Linked DNA regions of Rhinolophus ferrumequinum. The protein of the gene in region 1 purifies or fractionates together with the protein of each later gene. This does not show direct contact. Links are inferred from orthologs where the notes say so. Each region holds a gene or a part of one and is shown on either strand. Other genes may lie near its edges. The genes, in order: NLRP3, USP50 and NEK7.

Evidence for each region.
Region 2: the proteins of NLRP3 (region 1) and USP50 purify together in Homo sapiens (affinity purification with western blotting; 3 studies listed by BioGRID). This does not show direct contact. The link is inferred for Rhinolophus ferrumequinum from reciprocal best matches to the Homo sapiens genes NLRP3 and USP50.
Region 3: the proteins of NLRP3 (region 1) and NEK7 purify together in Homo sapiens (affinity purification with western blotting; 9 studies listed by BioGRID and IntAct, with this or other methods). This does not show direct contact. The link is inferred for Rhinolophus ferrumequinum from reciprocal best matches to the Homo sapiens genes NLRP3 and NEK7.

Annotation. Positions count from the first base shown.
Region 1 is NC_046307.1:1,051,589-1,059,009, forward strand, and holds the start of NLRP3 (NACHT, LRR and PYD domains-containing protein 3), read right to left. Parts: upstream 3,024-7,421; 5' UTR 2,271-3,023; intron 795-2,270; 5' UTR 614-794; intron 1-613. UniProt on the Homo sapiens protein: Sensor component of the NLRP3 inflammasome, which mediates inflammasome activation in response to defects in membrane integrity, leading to secretion of inflammatory cytokines IL1B and IL18 and pyroptosis.
Region 2 is NC_046289.1:57,045,295-57,053,327, reverse strand, and holds the start of USP50 (inactive ubiquitin carboxyl-terminal hydrolase 50), read right to left. Parts: upstream 3,058-8,033; coding exon 3,005-3,057; intron 1,428-3,004; coding exon 1,233-1,427; intron 962-1,232; coding exon 766-961; intron 1-765. UniProt on the Homo sapiens protein: Deubiquitinating enzyme that removes conjugated ubiquitin from specific proteins to regulate different cellular processes. Regulates the inflammasome signaling pathway by deubiquitinating 'Lys-63'-linked polyubiquitination of the PYCARD/ASC adapter protein.
Region 3 is NC_046310.1:2,689,459-2,696,550, reverse strand, and holds the start of NEK7 (serine/threonine-protein kinase Nek7), read left to right. Parts: upstream 1-4,030; 5' UTR 4,031-4,311; intron 4,312-7,092. UniProt on the Homo sapiens protein: Protein kinase which plays an important role in mitotic cell cycle progression. Required for microtubule nucleation activity of the centrosome, robust mitotic spindle formation and cytokinesis.

The DNA.
Region 1 (7,421 bases):
AAGCAGTAGTCTTTCTTCTGGGGGTGTCCTGTGGAAACTTTAATAGAGCAGGTTTGATTTGAAGGGAAGGCGACCCAGCTACTGACTCTCTGTAGTTTGATAGTAGTTGGGGTGTTTGGGAGATCTGGAAAGGGTCCCTTCTGTTTAGAAGTTAATTGGGCTGTTAGAGACCCCTCCCCCTCTAGGCTTTTAATAGTTCTTGGTCCCCACTGTACAACTTTATGACTTTAAGGGGCTATAATGTGTAGAGGAGTTGGCTTGGGGGAAGTGCCAGTCCTTATATTTTGAGTGCCTGCTGGACTTTTCCCAAGTTAATATAGAAAATAACAGAATTGAGGTCAGAATCCACAGCAATGGGCAGCAATTAGAGCCAGGGCTTAGAGGTCTCCTGACAAAACTTTTTCTAGAGTCCTTTTTAAGTGTGATTTGCTTATTTTATACTTTTTCTGCAACATAGGCCAATGGTAAGGAATAGGCGGAGTAAAATGAGCCCAAATTTAGGGGGGTTTATTTTTACAACTGAGTAGGTTTTAGAGGAAATAAATAGGTCCAGAGTGAGTGGTCAAGAAAGAATAAATAGCTTCTATATTAATCAGGAAATTTACAGGCTTACCTGCCACGTCAACGGTCACCCTCAGTTCCACCCTTGTGATGAGAAGAGCTTGGGAGCCTCTGGGAACTTCAGGTCCAGCAGTGATCACAGCCATTTGTGGGGAGGGAGTTGGTCTCTGCTCCCTTCAGAACAGGGGGCAGTCCCTCCTCCAGTGCCCTTTTAGTTTGCAGTGGGACCATGGCTGGTTTGGAGGAGTAGGACACTCCTTACTCCAGTGGCCTGGCGTTTCCTCTTCTGGGGTTTCTGGGGGGCCCTGAGGTGGCTTCAGCCCTGGGTTGTCTACAACTGCAGCCAAAAGTCTGGCCTGTCTCTGGCTTTGTCTCTAGTTTCACTGTTCCTTTATTACTTGTTTATCCTGCTTCAGTTGTTAAAGATATTTAAACAAATTTCCTGACCTTTTCTAGATTCTGTGGCTTTTTATTAAGATGCAACAATGGGTCGGAATTATTATAATTTGCTGTCAGGTGAGGAAAAATATTAAGTCAAGCTTAATGAATTTACCCTAACTTATCTAGGTTTTTGGTATAAAACAGTTAAATTATTTTTTTTAATAGTTGTTTATATCTGACATGAGAAGGACACATGAACACCAGTAGTCCTAGAATATAGAAATTATTGCAATAACATATATCATCTTTGTTTTTTAGGTAGAAAACCTTTTATATTAGTAGTAGACCAATAGTCTAATAAAATTTGTCTTACTTAGCAGAGAGAGAAAAATCAACTTGAGTTTTGTACTACCTTTACAACCTTAATTTATACTAATAACCAAAAGCAAGTAATTAGCTCTTTCCCTGGTAAATCGAGGGATATATTTTGTAACCTTTAAAAGCATTGACTTTTGTAATGCAATGCATGACATATTCATTAACAGATCTTAATTTCTCTTTTATTATTCCTGTTACAAGAAGCCAGAAATAGGTAAACTCAGACCTAGCCAATAATTGATATTTCAATATTTTGCTATTTTGAAATACCTAGATAGTTAATAACTTTCATCATTTAACACAACTTAGTAAATCCAACAAACCAGTCTTAGTATCAAATATTTCCTTAGATCAGGTGATCCTGAGAAGTAGTTGAGTTAGTTGTTATTATCTTAATTAATATAAGCACTTACTCTCTTATTTTTAGCCAATCAAATATTATAAACTGGCAATACCATCTGGAGGCAAAACCATTATTATATAAAACAGACAAGTACAGACCTTAGAGACTACATATGTAAACAGAACCACCAACACTTGCAGAGAGGACCTAAGATCTTATAGTTGCCCTTCCAACTTCAGGAGGCTGTAACGGAGTGGGGGCGCTTGCCGCCTGGGTTTAAAAGTGCCTCTTTTTTTCTCTTCAGTTACCTCAGCCTCAAGTGGAGGCTGCAGCAGCCCTTTGTTTACATTTGAGGTTATCTGCAAGACCTTGAAAGTTACTGAGAGTTAGAGAAATCTTTTAAGAATTACCACCTTTTGTCAAGTTCTTGAATATAGTTGGTGTACAAAACAGTTTTAAATACATGACTTAGAAGGCTCACAGAAGGTATAGATACAGAGCTCCTGATCAGCTTGGTGTCTAAGACACAAATAGAAAAGGAAAAGGAAAAGAGAAAAGACAGACTAGAGGCAAATAAAACAAATAAATTACATAAGCTAGTACTTACAGAACTAAATCCTCCTGAAATGAGGAGCTGGAGTTTGGGGGAGAAGGTGTAGGCTGAGGGCATGGGGTGGACGAGGAGAGACCCAATCGATCTTCAGCCGGGTCAAAGGAAGGAGTTTTATCTGGAGGAGGAGAAGGCTTAGAGTGCGCTAGGAGAATTTGGAATGTATTGTAGGTTTGGCAGAGGGAGAGTCGAGCTCAAAGAATAAAGAAGGCCTGCACATAGGGAATTTCTGACCATTTTCTGTTGTGGTGACAGAAGTTAGATAGGGGTGAGGCAGTGCTGTAGTAAAAGATAAGTCCTGTGGGTCAGATATCCTGTAAGATGAGCCCAAGGGAGTGTAAGTTGTGGAGGGGACAACCGAGAGGCGTAGATTTGGCAAGGACCAAATGTGAGGCCCCCATGGTTTGAAGAGATAGAGTGACAAGGGTGAGAAGAGAGCTTCCTGTTAGGAGGAGCACAGGGGTGAGGCATCTCCCGATTCCGGTGTCCGTCCTCCTCGGGTTTGGATATGGTAGACCGCTCCTCAGAACAGCGTCCTCAGACTGGGAGGATCTGGGCCCCCGGGGCCTGGAGGAACTTTCTGGCCTAGCTCTAGGACTTTTGGAAAACTGGAGAGTCAGCAGGTCCGAGGAGAGAATAAGACGTCTCACTCACCCGGTGTGAGAGTCTGGCCGGATGTTGTCTGGGATGTCAGCAACAGAAGGGAGAAAGTCCCCAAGCACATCCTTACGGCAGGTCTGGGAGGGTAGCCAGAGAGCAGATCAAGCAGGGGGGAGAGGGGAGTAGGGAGAAGAGAAAGAGAAGAAGCGATCCTGCATTCTCTGGCCTAAACCCTCCCGGGTTCTGGCACCAAATGATAGGTAGGCTGGTAAAGGAACGCACATGGTCAGGCAAGCTGAGAAAGTTTATTAAGAGAAAGCCTGTCGGGCGGAGCAAAGATGGCTACAGCCCAGACTGTGCGTCTAAAGGAGACCTGCAGCCCCAAGGGAGGGGGTGAGGAGAGTTTTATAGGGGCTGTGCTGACAGGGTAGCACTGTTTGAACAGAAAATTCTGACTACCTGCAAGCTAGTAGCTGTTTTGTGGTGTTTTCTGTTTTTCGCAAGTTTGGCTCTGTCTGCAGGTGCAGGCCAACAGACATTTTGTTGTTTTCTTGCAGACGTGGTTCTGTCTGTAAGTCAAGGTCTCTGAGACCTAACATTCAGAGACCTAACATTAAGTCAAGGTCTCCAACATTCAGAGACCTAACAGCAAGAATATACAATAGGGGTAAAGATAGTCTCCTCAATAAACTGTTTTGGGAAAAATGGACAGATACATGTAAAACAATGAAACTAGACCACTTTCTTATACCACATACAAGAATAAACTCAAAATGCATTAAAGACTTAAATGTAATACCCAAAACAATAAAACTACTTGAGGAAAACATAGGCAGTAAACCCTCTGACATTGCTCTTAGTAATATTTTTTCTGATGTATTTCTTTGGGCAAGGGGAAAAAAAGAAAAAGAAACAAATGGGACTACCTCAAACTAAAAAGGTTTTGGACAGCAAAGGAAACCATCAACAAAACGAAAAGACAAACTATTAAATGGGAGAAGATATTTGCCAATAATACATCTGATAAGAGGTTAATACCCAAAATTTATTAAAAAAAACTCATACAACTCAATACAAAAAAATTCCAATTAAAAAATGGGCAGCGGACATGGATAGACATTTCTCCAAAGAGGACATACAGGTGGCCAAAAGACATATCAAAAGATGCTCAGTATGACTAATTATCAGAGAAATGCAAATCAAAACCACAATGAAATATCACCTCATTGCTGTCAAAATGGCTATCATCAATAAATCAACAAATAGGGCCAGTCTGGTGACTCAGGCAGTTAGAGCTCCATGCTCCTAACTCCGAAGGCTGACGGTTCGATTCCCACATGGGCCAGTGGGCTCTCAACCACAAGGTTGCCAGTTCAATTCCTCGACTCCCGCAAGGGATGGTGGGCTATGCCCTCTGCAACTAGAAACGGCAACTGGACCTGGAGCTAAGCTGTGCCCTCCTCAACTAAGACTGAAAGGACAACAACTTGAAGCTGAACGGCACCCTCCACAACAAAGATTGAAAGGACAACAACTTGACATGGAAAAAAGTCCTGGAAGTACACACTGTTCCCCAATAAGGTCCTGTTCCCCTTCCCCAATAAAATGTTAAAAATAAATAAATAAATAAATAAATAAACAAACAAACAAACAAATAACAAGTGGTGTGAGGATGTGGAGAAAAGGGAACCCTCGTGCACTGTTGGTAGGATTGCAAACTGGTGCAACCGCTATGGAAAACAGTATGGAGATGCCTCAAAAAATTAAAAATAGAACTACTTTATGACTCAGCAAGTTCACGCCTGGGTATTTATCCAAAGAAACCCAAAACACTAATTCAAAAAGGTGCATGCATGTGTATGTTCATTGCAGCATTGTTTACAACAGCCAAGATACGGAAGTGAACTAAGTGCCCATCGATAGATGACAGGATAAAGAAGAGGTGGTGCATATGAGAAAGGTTCTGTGTCACACATCACTTCTGGTATGGCAATTTCTGTCAAATAAAAACATTACGGTGTGTCCTCATGCAACTTAGACTGTGCAGTCAACAGAAAAACATCCAGCCTGAGAGAAAGCTTATAAGAGTTCATTTGAGCCAAACTGACAACAATTGCTGGGAAGCAAAATCTCAACGGATTGAGAAAATGCTCTGGAAAATGGCCATTTTGCAACTTATTTTTATACATTAGAATCAAAGGAGGAGGGTTTCATGAAATCCATTGGTCGTAGATTAAGGGGGTGGGAGAAAGCAAAGCGGGGAAATCTCTGGGATTGGATAAAAAGCAAAATGGAGAGACACACACTTCTTTTACATTGGTGGGTACAGGATAGTTAATAGCATTTTACAGCACAGAGAGATGGTATTTAGAAAACAAGATAACAATGAGGGATTTTGTAGTTTCCTGCTCTGGTGCGGTGGGTTGTGCCCTCTGGGAGGTCTGAAGGAAGAGATTACTCTTATATTCCAAGGGTATGTTATCTTAGATGCAAAAAGACGACAGACAGGTTCACGTAAGGTAAAGATTTACCTTTGCCAAGGAAGCAACAGGTGAGGATGTGACTTCCCGCCATGGCCCACCTTACTGAGGAATTTTTATGTTCACACCATCCTCTGTGGTTATTTTCAGTCTCCTGAGCTTGTCAGGTTTAAATGTGGCCCCTTTTTCATTCACATTTCCCCCTTTTGGTCATAAATCAATTCGAATAATACATTGATGACCAACCTTTTGGTTGGATAGTGTGGTCCCACGGTGCTAGGAGGGCTCATTCCTAGGAATCTTAGTGTCGGCATTTGTCCTGCTGAATGTTGGACCATTGTGGGTGGGGCAAGACCATAACCTTAGATGGCAGTCAAGGCCAAATTATTTATTTATATTTAAAAGAAAAGGTGAGCAAACAGGAGGCAGTCAGATCCTATATGTCTTCATTAAATATATTCTGGATCATTTCTAATCTTTGAGCTATCATGATCCAAGTTTTTCCTCTGTCTGTCTTATGTTGTTTTTTTGCACCTAATATAACATGTACAAACTAGGAACAAGAGCAATAGTATTAAACCAGTAACACTGATTAGGAGCAGAAAATGTCCAATATTAGACAAGTATGAGTCTGAGCGGAGCAAACATCCTAGCCAACCAAAGAACCCTTCATTTGCATTATCATAATTTTTTATTAAGCTAATATGTTTCCCTCCCTCGTCTACTGCTATTTGTACCTTATGACAAGTTCGGCCAGATAAATGAAGAATTTACTATTTCATGATCGAAAAGCTCTAATTTTTCTTCTGGTCAATTAGTTTCCATAGAAATGACTTCATGGGGAGGAGTAAGTTCAATTTCCCAGTACACTGGATTTTCAGTATCAATATTGTTATAGGCAAAGTTAATTTGGCTGTGATTTCAGTACTACACCGTATTCCCATAGCATTTACTATAAACCTGGTATTATTACAGTAGAAATCAGTTAGTATGACAGAAGAATTTTCTAACCCTTCCCAACAAAAACGTCCCCTTCTCATATAACACATATTGTTGTTTGTTGAGGTGGATACAATAGGCCAGGATTAGGTAAATTCAGAATTCCATATAGATTGGGGACATAATCATTCACCTTTTCAGTTTAATATGGCCTATCTACTTTACATTGGAAGCGCTCATGTGTCATTCATTAATCTGATTTCTGCTAGTTGTATAACCGGGACCTGTATCTTTAAGGTTTAATAGGGGCTAAGAACACAATGGTGTAAGTTACAATTACTACCTGAACATTTCTAGAGGCCAAGAGGACAGTAGAAGTTTCATAAATAAATTTTCTGTGCCTTAGCAGCCATTATAGAGGGATATATATATATACGTATATATGTACATATATATATATATATATATATATACACACACACATAGATAGATAGATAGATAGATCTCCACTTCAGCTTCTATCTGAATTAATATCGTTAGTAGTCTTTGTAAAGATTGGGGCTAAGTATAATTGGGTTCTAATATAAAATTCCTTTCTCAATATTTCTTTTCCACTAACCTTCTATAACTTCACTTGTCCTTCTCAGTTTGTCTCCTTTCCCTCATTCAGAAATAATCAACTTATTAGGACAAACTACTTCCTTTTAACTTCTCTCAAAAATACACACACATCCCTTTTCTTCTTTCTACAATAACATTTCTTTTACATTTCAAAACCATAAATATAGTATTATTGATAATAAAGAAGTTATCTAATACGACTTGAGCAATTATTAACAGTCGGGCTATATAAGTACAGGTTTTGAAAAAAGCCTAACAAACAAGTATAACTATCATTATTACTAATATTATTAGCAGACAGTTAAAGACAATCAAACAATGGTTGTTTTAAGTTCAGTATCAATTATGTAGATGTACAGGCCTTCTCGATGTCTTGGGGTAGCTGTCTAACCCTGATGTCGGCAGCTTCTCATCCTTGAAGAGTCTTTGGTATCCACTGATAGGTCCCTTCCGACAAGGTTGGAGAGCCTTTGTCCAATGGACAAAATCTCCTGGCTGTGAGCCGTGG
Region 2 (8,033 bases), on another chromosome or scaffold:
GGATATACTTTGTGATCTTTTATGCTAAATATTTCCTGGATGTTAGCTATGAGGTAAGCTAACACCGCATAAGGACACTGCATAAAGTCAAGGACACATCTTTGGAAAATGAGGGTGTCCGACCATGGCTGAAGGAAGTGAGACTTGTAAACAAGGATAAAACTCTTAGTAATGGGCAATTTCATGTTTTATTAAACGTATGTTGTACTCAATGAAGAATTCAGGTTAGGCATGTTTGGTATGAAGGTGAAACTTTGCAGTATATAGATCTGTCCTTTAATCTAATGACAAGTGTAACAGTTTCTTGGGTTTGTACTTGCCAAGAACATTTATTTTAGGTTGTAAAGTTCTACGTGTCATATGTCATAAGGAATATATTTTTACAAAAAAGTGATTTTCACTTAAAAAAAAATCCATGCAGATGTTATGTGCAAAGGGAACTAGATTAATGGTCCCAACACCTGCTGATCACCAGAAATACCAACGGAGCTTTCCCAGAAGACAGTCCTAGACATTCTAACTCGGTAACACCAGACCAAGGGCCTTAGAACCTGTGTCGTAAAAATCTTCCTACTTTGATGATCAGCAAAGTTTGGTAAATACAGACCTATTCGAATACTAACTGGAATGTTCCCCCACAGTACTCCCAGAACCTATGCTTGGCAGAGTAGGCAATATTGATTGAACAAAACAAAAGAATGAAAAATGAAAGTTGCCCATAAAGCTGAAGGTCTATCCTATTTCAAGGCCATTAATTCTACTTACCTTTTTCAGAGATTCATGAAGTTCGTTCAGGACATAAATCAAGAATTCCTGAGCATCTTGCTGTGTCTTCTTCGTAAATGCTGGGTAGAGGTTGCCAAGAGCTGACCGAAATATTTCTGGTGAGACACAGTCTGAGTCTCCAAGCCACATGTCTGTCATCACATAGGCAAAAGCAGTGGCGACCTCACTGCAGTTCCTTGGGAGAAGGAAGGGAATGTTTCTGGCTGATTTAATGAAAAGAAGGCACCTAAAAACTCAAGCATCTGGACATTAGACCCCAAACAAAGCTTCATTAATTTCTTGGTTGACCTTCTTGCTTTACTCACCCTAGAAATGGTATCTGGGGTACTGCAGCCTCTACTGACTTGTTTAGCCTTTAATAGGGATTCCAGAGTGTTCCTTCCCTAACCTCACCGTGGGGAAACAAGGGGAAGGGGCTGGACTGCAGGGAACGCAAATGGTCTTACTTTTGAAGAGCAGTGATGTACTTTCCAGAGAGAAAGTAGTCCCTCAACGGTGAGATGCTGCAGAGACACTGTAAGATGGCATTCATGTAGCATGTGTTGCCCAAGTTCCGCAGGCCAGTCACGCCCTGGAAATGGGGCTGGTTCTCATCAGCCTCCTTAACTGGAAAGGTATCACAGTGATCTGTGCAGTCTGCGCTGTGTTGGTGCCATGTGGAAAGAAAGGACAGCATTTTGAGGGACCGAAATATGTACATATGACAATAAGGCCCTCTCAACCTCATGACACAAAGGAGAGTTTGTAGTAAGACCTCCGTCAAATAAATTCCCTACCAAGGACAGAAGTAATCTAACTTGGAGTCTAAAATTACATTACTTAGTCCAGAACTCTTGGAACAGTGCCAGCAGCCAAATACGAAGAGAGAAAAGTTTCTTCGTAAAACCAAAGCAAGAGGACAGAAAATATCAGCCTTTCAGAATCTTAGAGTTGTTTGGCTACCAATGTAAACTTTCCCTCTGAATACCAAAGTATTTCCCTTTTTTGCTGGGCAAGTTATTTAATTATTATTAGTAGTAACAATATTAGATAGTACTTAATAGTAACAATAGCTATCTTGTATTGAGCTTGGCACTATGTTAAGTACTTAACATGTATTTTCCCATTTAATTCTTTCAATAATTCTTGGGGGTAGGTACAATTATTTTTAAATCCTGTAATAGATGAGATATCATGTTTAAGTGGTTTAGTCATCTGCCTATGGCAATATACTAAGGGATGTGCAGTCGTGGAGAGAAGTATATGTCGAGAGAAGGAATATTTGTCTACATACCTACGTACCTACTGGCCATCTGTCTGTCAAGTTATTTGGATTTATATATCATATATTAAGAGTGTGTGTGCGTGCGTGTGTGTGTAAATATATATATATATATAGAGAGAGAGAGAGCGTAATGTAGACACATATTATATACTCATACATATATTAAGAGCACATATATGTGCATATTATATATATACAAATTACACACATACACACACTGGAAAAGGAAGCGTAAGAGCCTAGACTTTGTAAAAAACAGATCTCAGTTTAAATCCTGACTCTGCCACTATACTACTTACATGATCGGAGACTTAATTCTTGTTTCTCTTCTGTAAAATAGGAGTACTGCTGCCGGCCATATCGGTTTGTTGTGAGGATTAAATGATGCAAGGCACGTGGCACTGATTACATAGTTAAGTGGTAACCTCAAATCTTTTTAAAGAAGTCACTCATCTAGAAAGTCCTTAACAGCAAGCTATCGAATTAAAGCATTCGTGTGAATCAACCAGACCTGCGCAGAAGAGGGAGCACTGTGGCCGCCCAAGGAGTCCTTGCTGCCAGTTTCCTTTTGTAATTTGACTCTTCCACCAGGCAGCCCAGCGTCTTTGTCCTTTATTATTTGTCTTTCTAGCTCAAGTATTTAAAATGGCGTCTCCATGAGATCGCTACCTCACCTCAGTTCCTCTATTTACAATTCTGCCAATTTGAAAAGAGCTCACTGTTACATGAATGGCCATTTTCACTTTTATTCGCCTTTGCTATGGGAGGACCTGGACTGTCAGTTGCCTGGGTATTAAATAACATCTTCGATTCCTTTTGGGGGACCTCCAATGGGTCAAATCTGGGGGAAACCTCCCAAATGTGGCATGTGCCCCCCCCCCCCGACTCCTTTGGCATGGCTTCCCCCCCGCCCTCCTGAGCTTATCTAGAAAGCTGTAGTAGATGGAGGCTCACAGGACATAGTAGATACTGAAGTCATCTGTGGGGAGAGGCTGCTGCGAAGTCATTGCAGTGAAACCACGTCGGACTTTTCACTTCTATTCAGGAGCTACAGCTAATCCTTTTAACTTCATTCTCTGAGCCTGTTACTTTGGCTCTTTTTGTTTGTAATAAACAATTTGTATGTCCCCCACCTCCCCTTTAGTAGCTACAAACTGATTTTCATCTGTCCTTCAGGAACATTCCAACTTGGATTTTCCATGCATCATAATCCTTTCCATTCACCTTCAATATTCTAGCTTGTTGCCATGAGATACTGTTACTTGGTTGCTTCAAAACTTTTAGATTAGATTACAAAGAATGAGCTAAATATATAACATCTCTTCATCACTCATTTTCTCTTGTGTATATATATATCACACACACATGCGCGCGTGCGCACTTCAGTGGACATTATGGTAACCCTGCCCACTTTGGGCACTCACCCACTGTCCTCATGATGGCGCCACTCCCAGGACCACGAAGGACTGTTTCTCACCCAGGGGAGGGAGGTAGTTGGATTTTGCTGCTTCTAAAAATGCATGGCATTGGAATAGATTGAAACATTTCCCTTCATGGCCAATTGTAGTGCAAAGTGGGTGCATGTGCGCACACACACATAATCCCACTAGCGCCATGCAGGGCAAATATAAATAAAGGGTTTATCACAAAACAATTTATAAGTTAAGAAGTAGTAGAGCACACACAATCTCCTGAGCTCTCATTTTCTTCATAGAGAACTGTGCTTTAGAAAGCTCTTCAGTAGGGAGGAGCCTACCCCCACCCCAACAATGAATGATATACCACATTTTATCCATTCATCTGTTAGACATTTGGGTTGTTTCCACTTTTGGGCTATTATCAATAATGCTGCTATGAACATTTGTGTAAAAGGTTTTGTGTAGACACCATTTCAGTTCTCTAAGGTATATACCAAGAAGTAAAATTGCTGTGTAATATATGGTAACTCTATATTTAACCTTTTGAGAAACTTTCAGGCTGTTTTCCAAAATGGCTACACCACTTAAATTCCTGCCGGCAATGTATGACGGTTCAGATTTCTCCACATCTTTGTCAACACTTATATTTTGATCCTAGCTATTTGAGTGGGTGTGAAGTGTTATTTCATTGTAGTAGTTTTGATTTGAATTTCCCTAATGGCTAATGAAGTAGAACATCTTTTCATGTGTTTCTGGACCATCTTTTATGTCTTCTTTGGAGAAATATCTGTTCAGATCCTTTGCCCAGTTTTAAATTGACTTGTCTTTTTACTGATGATTTGTAGTTCTTTATAAAATTTCTTTATCAGCTACATTACTTGAAATTTTTTTTCTCTCACTCTGAGTTGTCTTTTCACTGTTGATGATATACTTTGAAAAACAAAATTTTAAAATTTGGATGAATTTCAATTTGTCTATTTTTATCTTTGGTTGCTTTTGTTGTTGGTGTCATATATCTAAGGAACTATTGTCTAATCCAAGGTTACAGATTTACCCCTATATATTCTTCATTTGTCTCTTAAATCCATTTTGAGTTAATTTTTATATACAGTGTGAAGTAGCGGTTCAACTTCATTCTTTGCATGTGGCTATCTAGTTGTCTCAGCACAATTTTTTGAAGACTATTTGTCCCCATTGAGTTGTTTTGGCATCCCTGTCAAAAATCAATTAACCATAAATTTCTGGACTCAATTTTATTTTATTGATCTATATGCTGTAAAACACTGTCTTGATTACTGCAGCTTTGTATGGGGAGGAGTATCTTAATAGCCTTTTTAGGTAATTGTGGATATTCTTATTTGAGACAACACCAAAACTAGACAAGTAGTAGTTTTCCAAAAGTCAACTAACTGCTATATAGAATCTGAAAGCCTTCTCTAGTCTGCTAGATCTTTCACTCATGCATCATTTTAAATATCATGCATAGGTCATTTGGAAAATATTGGTTGTTACATGGATCTTCCAAACATTGACACATTTCTTTACACAATATCAAAAACAACCATTATTAAATCAACACTGATTTCATTAGAAAAGTATTGAGAATTTGTCACGCTACTGGTGTTAAGAGGCAAGTTTTCCAAAATTCCAATTGTCTCTACGAAGTTCAAACTTTAGCATTAAAAAGTAGTTATTCTTTAGCCAAATACTGAGGTCTGAATAACCATTGTCTGTCTGCCAGTCATGAAATCTTTCAAGCAGAAATGATGTTAAATGAAAAAAGTGACTAGTTCAATTTGCAACTCACACAATTGCTTAAGTGCTTTTCTTTGAGACAATCATCTCATTTCATTATGCAGCAGAAGTGTTTTATGACTATTTCTCATTTTATTCCACATAATATTAAAGACATGCATACAAGAGTCAAGGTTAAAAATTAACTTACTTCATCAAATACTTTTTTAAAATTAAAACTTAATGGGGTGACAATGGTTAGTAAAATTACATAGGTTTCATGTGTACAATTCTGTAATGCATCTACACATCACCTTGTGTGTAAACCACCCAGTCAATTCTCCTTCCATGACCATTTTTTGACCCCCTTTACCCTTTTCTACTATCCCCTCTCCTCCTACCGCCTGGTAAACATTGTCTCTGTCTCTGAGTTTTTGTTTCTTCATTTGTCTGTCTTGTTCCTTTGTTGTTTTCAGTTTTATATGCCACATATCAGTGAAGTCATATGGTTCTCAACTTTTGCTGTCTTATTTCACTTAGCATAATAATCTCAAGATCCATCCATGTTGTCCCAAATGGCACAATTTCATCTTTTCTTATGGCTGAGTAGTATTCTATTGTGTATATATACATCTTTTTTATCCAATCATCTATCAAAGGACACTTTGGTTGTTTCCATGTCTTGGCCATCGTAAAAAAAAGCTGCAATGAACATCGGAGCATATATCTTTACAGATAAATGTTTTCAGGTCTTGGGGGGTATATACCCAAGAGAGGGATTGCTGGATCATATGGTAATTCTATTCTTAGTTTTTTGAGCAACCTCCACACTGCCTTCCATAGCGGCTGCACCAGTCTGCATTCCCACCAACAGTGCATGAGGGTTCCTTTTTCTCCACAGCCTCTCCAACACTTGTTACTATTTGTGTTGTTGATTCTAACTGGTGTGAGGTGATACCTCATTGTGGTTTTTATTTGCATTTATCTGATGATTAGTGATGTTGAGTATCTGTTCATATGTCTGTTGGCCATCTGTATGTCCTCTTTGGAAAAATGTCTGTTCAGGTCTTCTGCCCATTTTTTAATTGGGATGTTTGTTTTGTTGTTGAGTTGTATGAGTTCCTTATATATTTTGGACATTAGCCCCTTATTGGAGGCGTTTACAAAAATTTCCCATTCTGTTGGTTGCCTCTTTATTTTGTTGATGGTTTCTTTTGCTGTGCAGCAGCTTTTCAGAGATGTTTTAAATGAAATGAACTGTTTTTCTTAAAACTGTGGTGTGAAGCTGAAGAATATAACGACCCTTGTAGTTTGGCGTTCCTGCCTTGATTCACACTAAGGTACCAGCAATTTTACCCATCAGTGATTTTGCGCCCTTTAGTAGTTTCAAACTAGTGAAAAGGCAAATACTATCTTAGAATTATGAGTTTTGACCCTGTGGACCCATGAAAAATGTCTTGGGGACCTTCAGGGTCTGCGGTCCACTTTGAAAACCAGTGACCTAATTAATAAATCTAGGCAATGACGATCAAAAAGACAATCAAACCTGTATTTCTTAATGGAAGTATATACACCACCACCAATGAAGCATTCTTGTCAGAAATATAATCTTGAATTCTGACCAAGCCTCCACACCTAACAATTAATTTATGGCATATACAGGAAAAAGAAAGATGTAACAATGTAACATGACACCTAATGGAAATAATCAGCAAAATCCTGAATGCGGGAAACTTCTTAGAATAAGCTGGTTCTTCAAAAAATAAATTAAAAAAAAAAAGATGGGAGAAGAAATTTATATATTAAGAGACTTTAAAGACAAATCAAGTAGCAATGTATCTTATCTGGGTCCTGACTCAAGCAAATTGCAAAAAATTTTTGTTTGAGAATAATTACATTATCTGATGATATTAAGGAACTTAATTTTTTAGACGTAAGGATATCATAGTTCTTGTATTTTAGAAACATATACTGAGACACTTATAGTTAAAATTAAAGTTTCATAATGCAGGATTGCACAGAAATTCCAAGGAAAAACCAAGTAAAGTCGTGAATCCCGTAACAATGGGAATATGGATCACGATTTCATCATTGTGCAAACATCACAGAGTGCACTTACACAAACCTATGTGGTACAGACGACTACACACCTAGGCTATTTGGTAATAGTCTGTTGCTCCTAGGCTACAAACCTGTACAGTATCTTACTGTACAAAACAACATGAGACTAAACACAAGAGAAAATGACAAATCAAGAGCCATAGTAAACAGGAAAGGTATGAGGTTGCTGCTAGTGACATACTGTTTTATAGCAAACTTTTTTCTTGTGAGTAGAAAGAGGACACTCTGATTAAAAATACAGTAAATACATAAAGCAGCAAGTTTTTATAAAGTATTATGTACTATAATTGTGTGTGCTATACTTTTATACGAGTGGCAGTACAAGTTTGCTATACATGCATCACCACGTGAGTAATGCATTTTGACAGGAATTCTTTGGCTCCATTATTATCTATGGGATCACCCTGGTATATGCAGTTGTCATCAACCAAATATTGTTATGCGGTCCATGACTGTAAAGGATAGAGCTAAATGTGGGGTGGAGCAGCGCATGAGAAAAAGTCCCTGTATGTCTGGTGCTGTTTACTGAAAGCTGGACTATGTAGCTTCTCTGAAGAAAACCCTCCTGGCCCAAGATCACCAAGGTGAAATCATAGACCCCCAGAAACAAACTCTGCTTGAGGGATTTCTGAAGAGCCTAGAAGAAGGAAATATATTCCAGAGAGGATCAGAACCTTAGCTTGGGATTTTTCCTAAGAAAAAGCTCACAG
Region 3 (7,092 bases), on another chromosome or scaffold:
CTCAGAAGAGAACTTGACAAATAAGGAGAGGTGGAGGGAGACAAAGTAGGAAGATCTCTAGGGAGTCGTCCCACTTGGTTTTGTGAGATCACAGGATCTTGGTAACAATATCCCCTTTTCAGAGTAGATGCATGCACACAGAATATTCCAGAGAAACCTGCACTTTTAAAAATTATCTTTGGAATTCGATTATTGTGTCATCACACTCTGTTAGGGTAAATAACTGAGAGGTGATCAGGAACCCACAGTGAAAATTCTACCATTGTTGAGGACAGTGTCTCCTGTGAAAAGGCCTCCCCATTTGGCTCCACATCAAGGATGGTGTGGACAAGTGTGCAAAGGGAAATAATTTCTGAGTATATTTCCTTCATTGCTTTGACTTACTGACCGTCATCACATAATGGCCCTCGGGCTTTTATACTGAGAGACAAAAAGCATAAATTCAGTTGGATTCTGTTCACCAAAGGAAATCATGATATAAACCTAAACTCCTAATTGTACTCTTTCTTTCCTGTGGTGCAACCAGTATAAAATATCGCATTTCCCTACATAAATATATATATAAAATATATATAAAATTAAAATGTCTCCCCAGTTTTATAACTGCTACAGAAATAGCCGGGGGACCATCAGGTTGCCACTATTTTTATCTGAGAACTGACTGTATTCTCAAAATACCATAATTAGATAACTGGGACATCGCAGAGTTATCTGTCTGTGATTTTGGATTCTAGGCATTTGGATGTAAGGATACAATTCAGGCTGATTTGACTGTTTTAATTAGAAGCTTACCTGCATGATGTCTTAACACAAGTAAAAAGTAGCTCTCTAATATTTTTCATGAGTGTTTTCAAAGCAAGAGAAAGAGTTCTTTCCTGAAGCTGCACAGTGACCACAGCCAGGGCCAGACGAAAGCGATCTCCCTTGAGTCATGTGCAGTCTGCACTTTCACTTCCTCCGTTTGGCCCAGTTTAGTCCAGACATTTCAACAGCTTGACTAACCCTCATCGTCATTTAGCTGCCAAAGTCTGTGGCCGCCAATATCACTGGTAGCTTTTGAAGTACACGTGTTGCCAGCACTATGTTTGAGTCAGGAAGGCGAGACCTTGCTGGTCTAACCCTCAGTGGCTAGGATCTTTTTCAAAGGAGAATTATTTTTAATATTACTTCATCATCCTGCATCAGGAAAAAAGTTTTCTGGCAAGCTTCTCTCTTTCCAGAGAAATTGCATTGACACTGAACCTGGTATGTAACATCTGGTCTGGGTTAGCCTGTGGATAAAAAACAGTATTGATAATCAGTACTACTTCTAATTTATATTTTTAATTGGATGGAGCCAGCAAACCTATATAAATAACAAAACACGATGACTTGGTGTAAACCGATAGTTTTTTAGCGTAATAACCATTTACAGCCGGGTTAATCTGATAGTGAATGGTAGGTATTGCATGGTAATTAGGTATGAACACTAAGTAGCTCATATAAGGGACTGTCATGAAGGTGTCTCGTGGAGCCAAACAAGCATTTTGGAGCAAGCTTGGTGGGGAGATGAAAAGCAAAGAGTTAAAGCTGGACTCTGCTCTAATGCTCCCTGGGACCAGAGGAGCCTGTTTTTCCATTAGCATTCGCTCCAGGCCAGGGGCCAGTGGCCAGGGACAGGACTCCCAATTTACCATATGGGTCAGTAACGAAGAGTCACAAAGAGAAAGTACAGTGGATTCTGTTCTGACAGTCTTCCCAACCTTTCAGGCAAGATAGTACTCTTTAGTTGTAACTTTGTGTCTTCCAAGGTGAAGAAATAGGACACATACAGGTGATTTCAACAGATTGGGCACCAGGGAGCCACTGGTAGGGTACTTCCTAGGCTGTCTGGGGTCACTAGGGGTTCTTGAGCTCATTTTGATCCATTTGCCTACCAGTCAGTGTTATAAATGATGTACGTTTTCCTTACACGTGAAATATCTGGTCCTCAGATGAATCTGAAGTTTATTCCAACTGGGCTGTTTTATCCATCATCTATCTACCTACATTTTCTAAAAGGTAGTGCAGTAGGACACCATGGCTTGTATATTAGGTTGAAATGTCTTCACCCTGGGAGTCCCTGGTGACTTTTCCTGCAAGGTGTGCCTGTGTCTGACTCAAGTGACATTGTTCTTATTTGACTGATGGCTTTTGATTTGCTGTGACTTGATAGAACGATTTAAATTGTTTAAATGCCAGCATCAATGGCTTCATCCTTGCCGCCTTTCTTATCCCACATCCAGTCCACCGGCAAATCTTGTTGGCTGTATCTTAGAAATATATCTGGAATCTGACCATGCATATCGCCTCCACTGTTAGCACAATGTCTAGTCATCAATATCTTTACCTGACCATTCGAATAGTCCCATGACTGTGCTAGGGTCTCCACAGTGCAGTGCATCCTCCCAACCTAAGTCTGATATGGTCACTACTCCAACGGCTTTCCATCTCATTCAGAATAAATGCGAAAAGTTACAAGGTTCTACGTTTACTCCTACCCGTACCCCCACCTCCTCTGCCAATGTCATCTGCCAGCACTTACCTATTGTTCACTGGATTTTAGCTACACTGACCTCTGACCTCTTGGCCATTCCTCAAAGAAGCCAAGCCCACCTCTGGTGGGGTCTTTGCATGTGCTGTAAATGCTCTACTCCTGGACACGTGGCTCATTTTCTCACTTCCTTCAGGTCTCTGTGCAAATGTCAGAGATGCTTTCCCAGATAAACATATTTCAAACAGCAGCCTCCCCGCCACGTCTCCCTGCCCTGCTTCATTTCTGTATGAGTCACCATCTGACATAGCATGTCTTTATAGGCTTATTATTTATTATTATTATCGCTTGTTCTAGTGCAATGGAAGCCCCAGGAGACTTTGTGTCTTGCTAACTTGTTGTACCTTCATGCATTGTGACTCACACATTGATTTAAAACTTCCTGAGCCACTGGAATCAACATCTCCTGAGATCTTGAATTATTTTTTTTCTAAGCATAAACTTCCCAAATCTTAGTTCCATAGCTTTAAAATTTTAAGTATTTGATCTATAATCTCCTCATTTTTGGCCGGAATCCCTTTGGTGTGGAGGTCAAACTAGTAAAAGACGTAGGAGTAGTAACTATTTAATGAGTACTTCTTACATGCCAGGCTCTTGTGCGGAAGCACTCTGCTTTATCTCATCTAATTCTAACCGCAGGCCTAAAGATAGGTATTTATTACTACTGTGTTCTCCTTTTATAAACAAAGATTCTGATACTTCGTAGAGGTGAAATAACTTGCGGCCAGGTCACAGAGTTAATAACCGTCGAGCTGAGATTAGAATCAAGGTGGGGTTGATTCCACACTGCCTCCTAGCTGTCTCCTGCAGTAATGCGTGTCCAGTTGAAGTAGGGAAGCGGTTAGAATCAAAGCATTCCCTTTACAGCGACTGTGCTAAGGTGCTGGGGTACGTTCGTATGTATTATAATATATGTAACCTCCTCCCTCTAGGATTCCAGGTACCAACCCAGAGGTTGTTCACCTTTCGGAAATGTCCCGAGAGCCACTGTTCCTCTAGGTTGGGACTCTTACTTTAAACGCAAGGTTCGCTCAGAGCCGAGGTGGTTTACCACCTAGGAAGAGAAGAATGGAGACGTCACCAATTCGGCGTACCGCTTGCAAGTGCGGGTATTGAAATATAAGGGAACAAAAAGCAAGTTCTCCAAAGGCGGCCGACCCCCGTCTCCGAGGGAAGTCGGCCCGAAGGAGGGGAATAGGGCTGGGGGGGCCAGAACGAAGCGCCCCGCGATGCTAGGCCGGATAGCAGGAAGCTACGTGCCGGGAGTTTCGGCCCCAGCGAGGGTCCCACCGCTCCGCAGGGAGCCGCGCGGACATCACCTGGGACCACCGAGGTGTCTGCCTGCCGCAGCTGCTGGACCGCCGCGCAAGGCTCGGGGGCGGTGAGGTGGGCGTGGCCGGCGGCGCGGAGGCGTGGCCGGCGGCCGCCCCGCCCTCTCCTCGGGGATGCCGGGATGTTTACACTCCTGACAGCCGCGTCCGCGAGAGGAGGAGCGGGAGCCTCGGGAGGATGGGCCGCCGCTAGCCTCGCACTCGGGACGCGCCCTCGCCGTGCGCAGGGTGGGTGGCCGCGCCTGCACCGTCCGCGGGGGCGGCGCGGCGCGAGGTTGGCGATCGGCTCCGGGCCTCGCAAGCCAGAGCCCCAGGCCCAGCGGGCCTTTCAGCGGCGATTCCTGGCCCGGCCGCCCGCCTGCCCCGGGCCCCTCGCGGGCAGGAGAACTGACAACTTCCAACTTCCCGGTGAGTCGCTGCGGGGTCGCGGCGCCGGGCCGAGCGGTGATCCTGCGGGAGCCGGGCGGGGGTGGGGATGCGTCGGGATCGCGCGGGCGGCCTCCGGGTCCCGCGGCCGGGGAGGTGGGGCGGGGCTCGCCGCGCTGGAGCCCGACGCTCCGGCCCTGGTCTTGGGCAGTGGCGGGAGCTTCACGCCTGGCACCGGCTCTGGCGGCGCCGGCCACGGTAACCAAGAAACTCCGCGGCCACGGCGCTGGCTGCAACAGGTCTTGGGTTTCAGGACCCGAGGAACTTGGGTGAAGTCCCGCCTCCCGCCGCTCGGCGGATGCTCATTGGCCGCGCGGGTTATTTATTGCTCACGGATTGGTTAGGCCCAGCTGTCGGCCGCCAGACTTGGAAGAGGAAAAGTTCAGTGGGAGAGAGTGGGTGGTGGGCAAGTGTCCAGTGGCTGGAGAAGTACCGGGAGGATGACCAGCCTGTTGGAGAACGAGCTTTAGTGGGACTCCGACAGGTTCAGGAAACGTCAGAGAGAGGGAGTGCAAGGCGAACACTGGTAGTGATGGTGGCCGTGGAAAAGAAAAACCGAAAACTGAGGCCGAAGCTAGAGAGACGGAGGGTAGCCCAGAGGAAAAAGGAGAAAATAGGGGGCCACGTTGCCCCGGGGCAGTGTCAGGAGATGAGCACGACGTAGAGGACGCTGCATCCAGGTCTCAAGGACTCCCGTTGCCTCTTCCCTTGTGCACTGGAGGCCTGGGACACGATGCATCCAACTGATGAATCGTGTTCTCGCAGAGCCGTCGTCCTCGTTAGGGGTCAAGACTAAACGCGCGCTTATGTCACAGTAAGATAAGCTCCCATCCTTGAGCAGTTCTGGTGACGGAACTGGAATTCAGACACGTGTTACAGGCACGAAATGATTTTCCTCCTGTGAGACTGGTGATCTGAAGGATGCCGCTGAACAGTCAGATGCCCCTAGCTGGCAGGCATGGCGTACTCCTCGTAATGAGAACCAGTGTTTCGAGGGCCTCTTCCGAGGAATTGTGAGTTTCCCAAAGTGTGCACACGCCCCGCAGGCGACAGCTGCGTGCCTTGTCAGGTTGCATTACAGAATCAAGTACAGAACGTGTGTGCAGTACGTCTGTTCAGAACAGGAGCTTGGGCGGCTGCAGGATCGGCCGAAGAGTGGCAGAGCACTTCCGCTCAGAGGGTTTTTAGGGTACTTCGGGGGCGACCGGACCAGCACTGAACTCGGTGACTCAGTGAAGGAGACATGCCGCTCGCTCACCATGTGGCAACTCTTGCTGAATGGACGCGCCGGAGTTTGGGTCATAACACTTGGTGATAGCACTTAAGACGGTTGACGTAAAACGTAGAGTCATTTCATTTTCCGAGGAAGTAGTCTTCCGCAGCCCTCGGGGAGATCCAGCCCACAGCTGGCTTCCCCCTAAGACCGCAGCATCCTCTGTTTGCCTCCTGGGATGGGAGTTCGCGGGGTGGGGGAGAGGAGATGGAGCTTAAAAACGTTTGCCTCTGGGAGGCGTCAAAGGGACAGAAACTGTAGGTGGGAGAAGAGCCGGTGAAATAAAAGGGCGAAGCCCCTCTGTGGAGGCAGGTTGTTTTCTCGCGGGCTGGGGAAGCGGGGGACCCGAGAGGTGCTGGCATGAGATTTCCGCTCCACCGGGGAGGCCCCGCCCTCGCAGCACTGACAGCCTCCGCAGCCAATGAGCGGCTAGGGTAGTGCGGTTCCCGCTTGGGAGGCGGTACTTCCGAGCCCCTCCGGGAGGCCGAGAGAGCTCCTGCTGGAGGCATGTCTGCGGGCGGTGGAGGAGGCTCCAGTTTCCTCTCACCCCTCGTGCTTGTCTCCTTTCATAGTTAAGCTGCACCTTCGACTCACGACTGCAACTGAAACTTTATAGTCGACAAGAAACGAAGTTGGTCAGCAAACTGAATACCACCTCTGTAACTGATCGGGATTTTGCGAAATGATCTGAAAACGGAAACCAAGAAATGTCAGAATCTAAATCGTTAAGCGTGTTCACAGTGACTTGGGAATCTTTCCGCAGTTAAAAATCTTTGTCAGCTTATAAAGACGGTAACTTGACAAATTCATTTTATGATCAGAATTCAGGTATAATTATTTTGATCATTTCTGTGGCACCCTCCATTCCCTTTCCCACTTGCACATTTTGCTGGTGGGACAATCTCAAGAGCTTTTCTCCGGCCCAGTAAAACAGCACTTACTCCGAGAATGAGGAAAGCACGTCTGGTATGATGGCTTCATACCAGTGGAGGAGCGGAGACTCGAGGCCAGTCTGATTAACATACCCGAGTAGTAAAAATCAGTGAATGTTTCAAATGACCAGAAGTGCAGTTATAGTTTTGTGCACAGGAAGTATTTAACCTACGCCCCTCCCGTCATCTTCTGGTGTTGTAATCGACAGTTTTGGGCTCTGATTTACTGCAAACATTTGTGTTCTTTTCAGCTACTGTGCATTTACAGAAATGTAGATTCTTTTTTTTTTTTTTTCCACTTAGGTATGTGGCCTGAAGTAGCATTAGAGACTTTTACAGGGTATCTAGAACCAAACACTATTTTCCTAGGAAGCAGATCTTATGTTTTAAAATGTGTCTCTAGTATTACTAATGTAGCCACCACTGAGGGCATCTGGACTGAGAGAATAGTGATTATCTAATGCGTTTTGGAAAAGAGGTTGCTTAATTAGATAAATAAGTTCCAAATTTCCTTTCAGGTTTTGCTTACTTTATTGTTTTAAAAATAGGTTTTGGTAT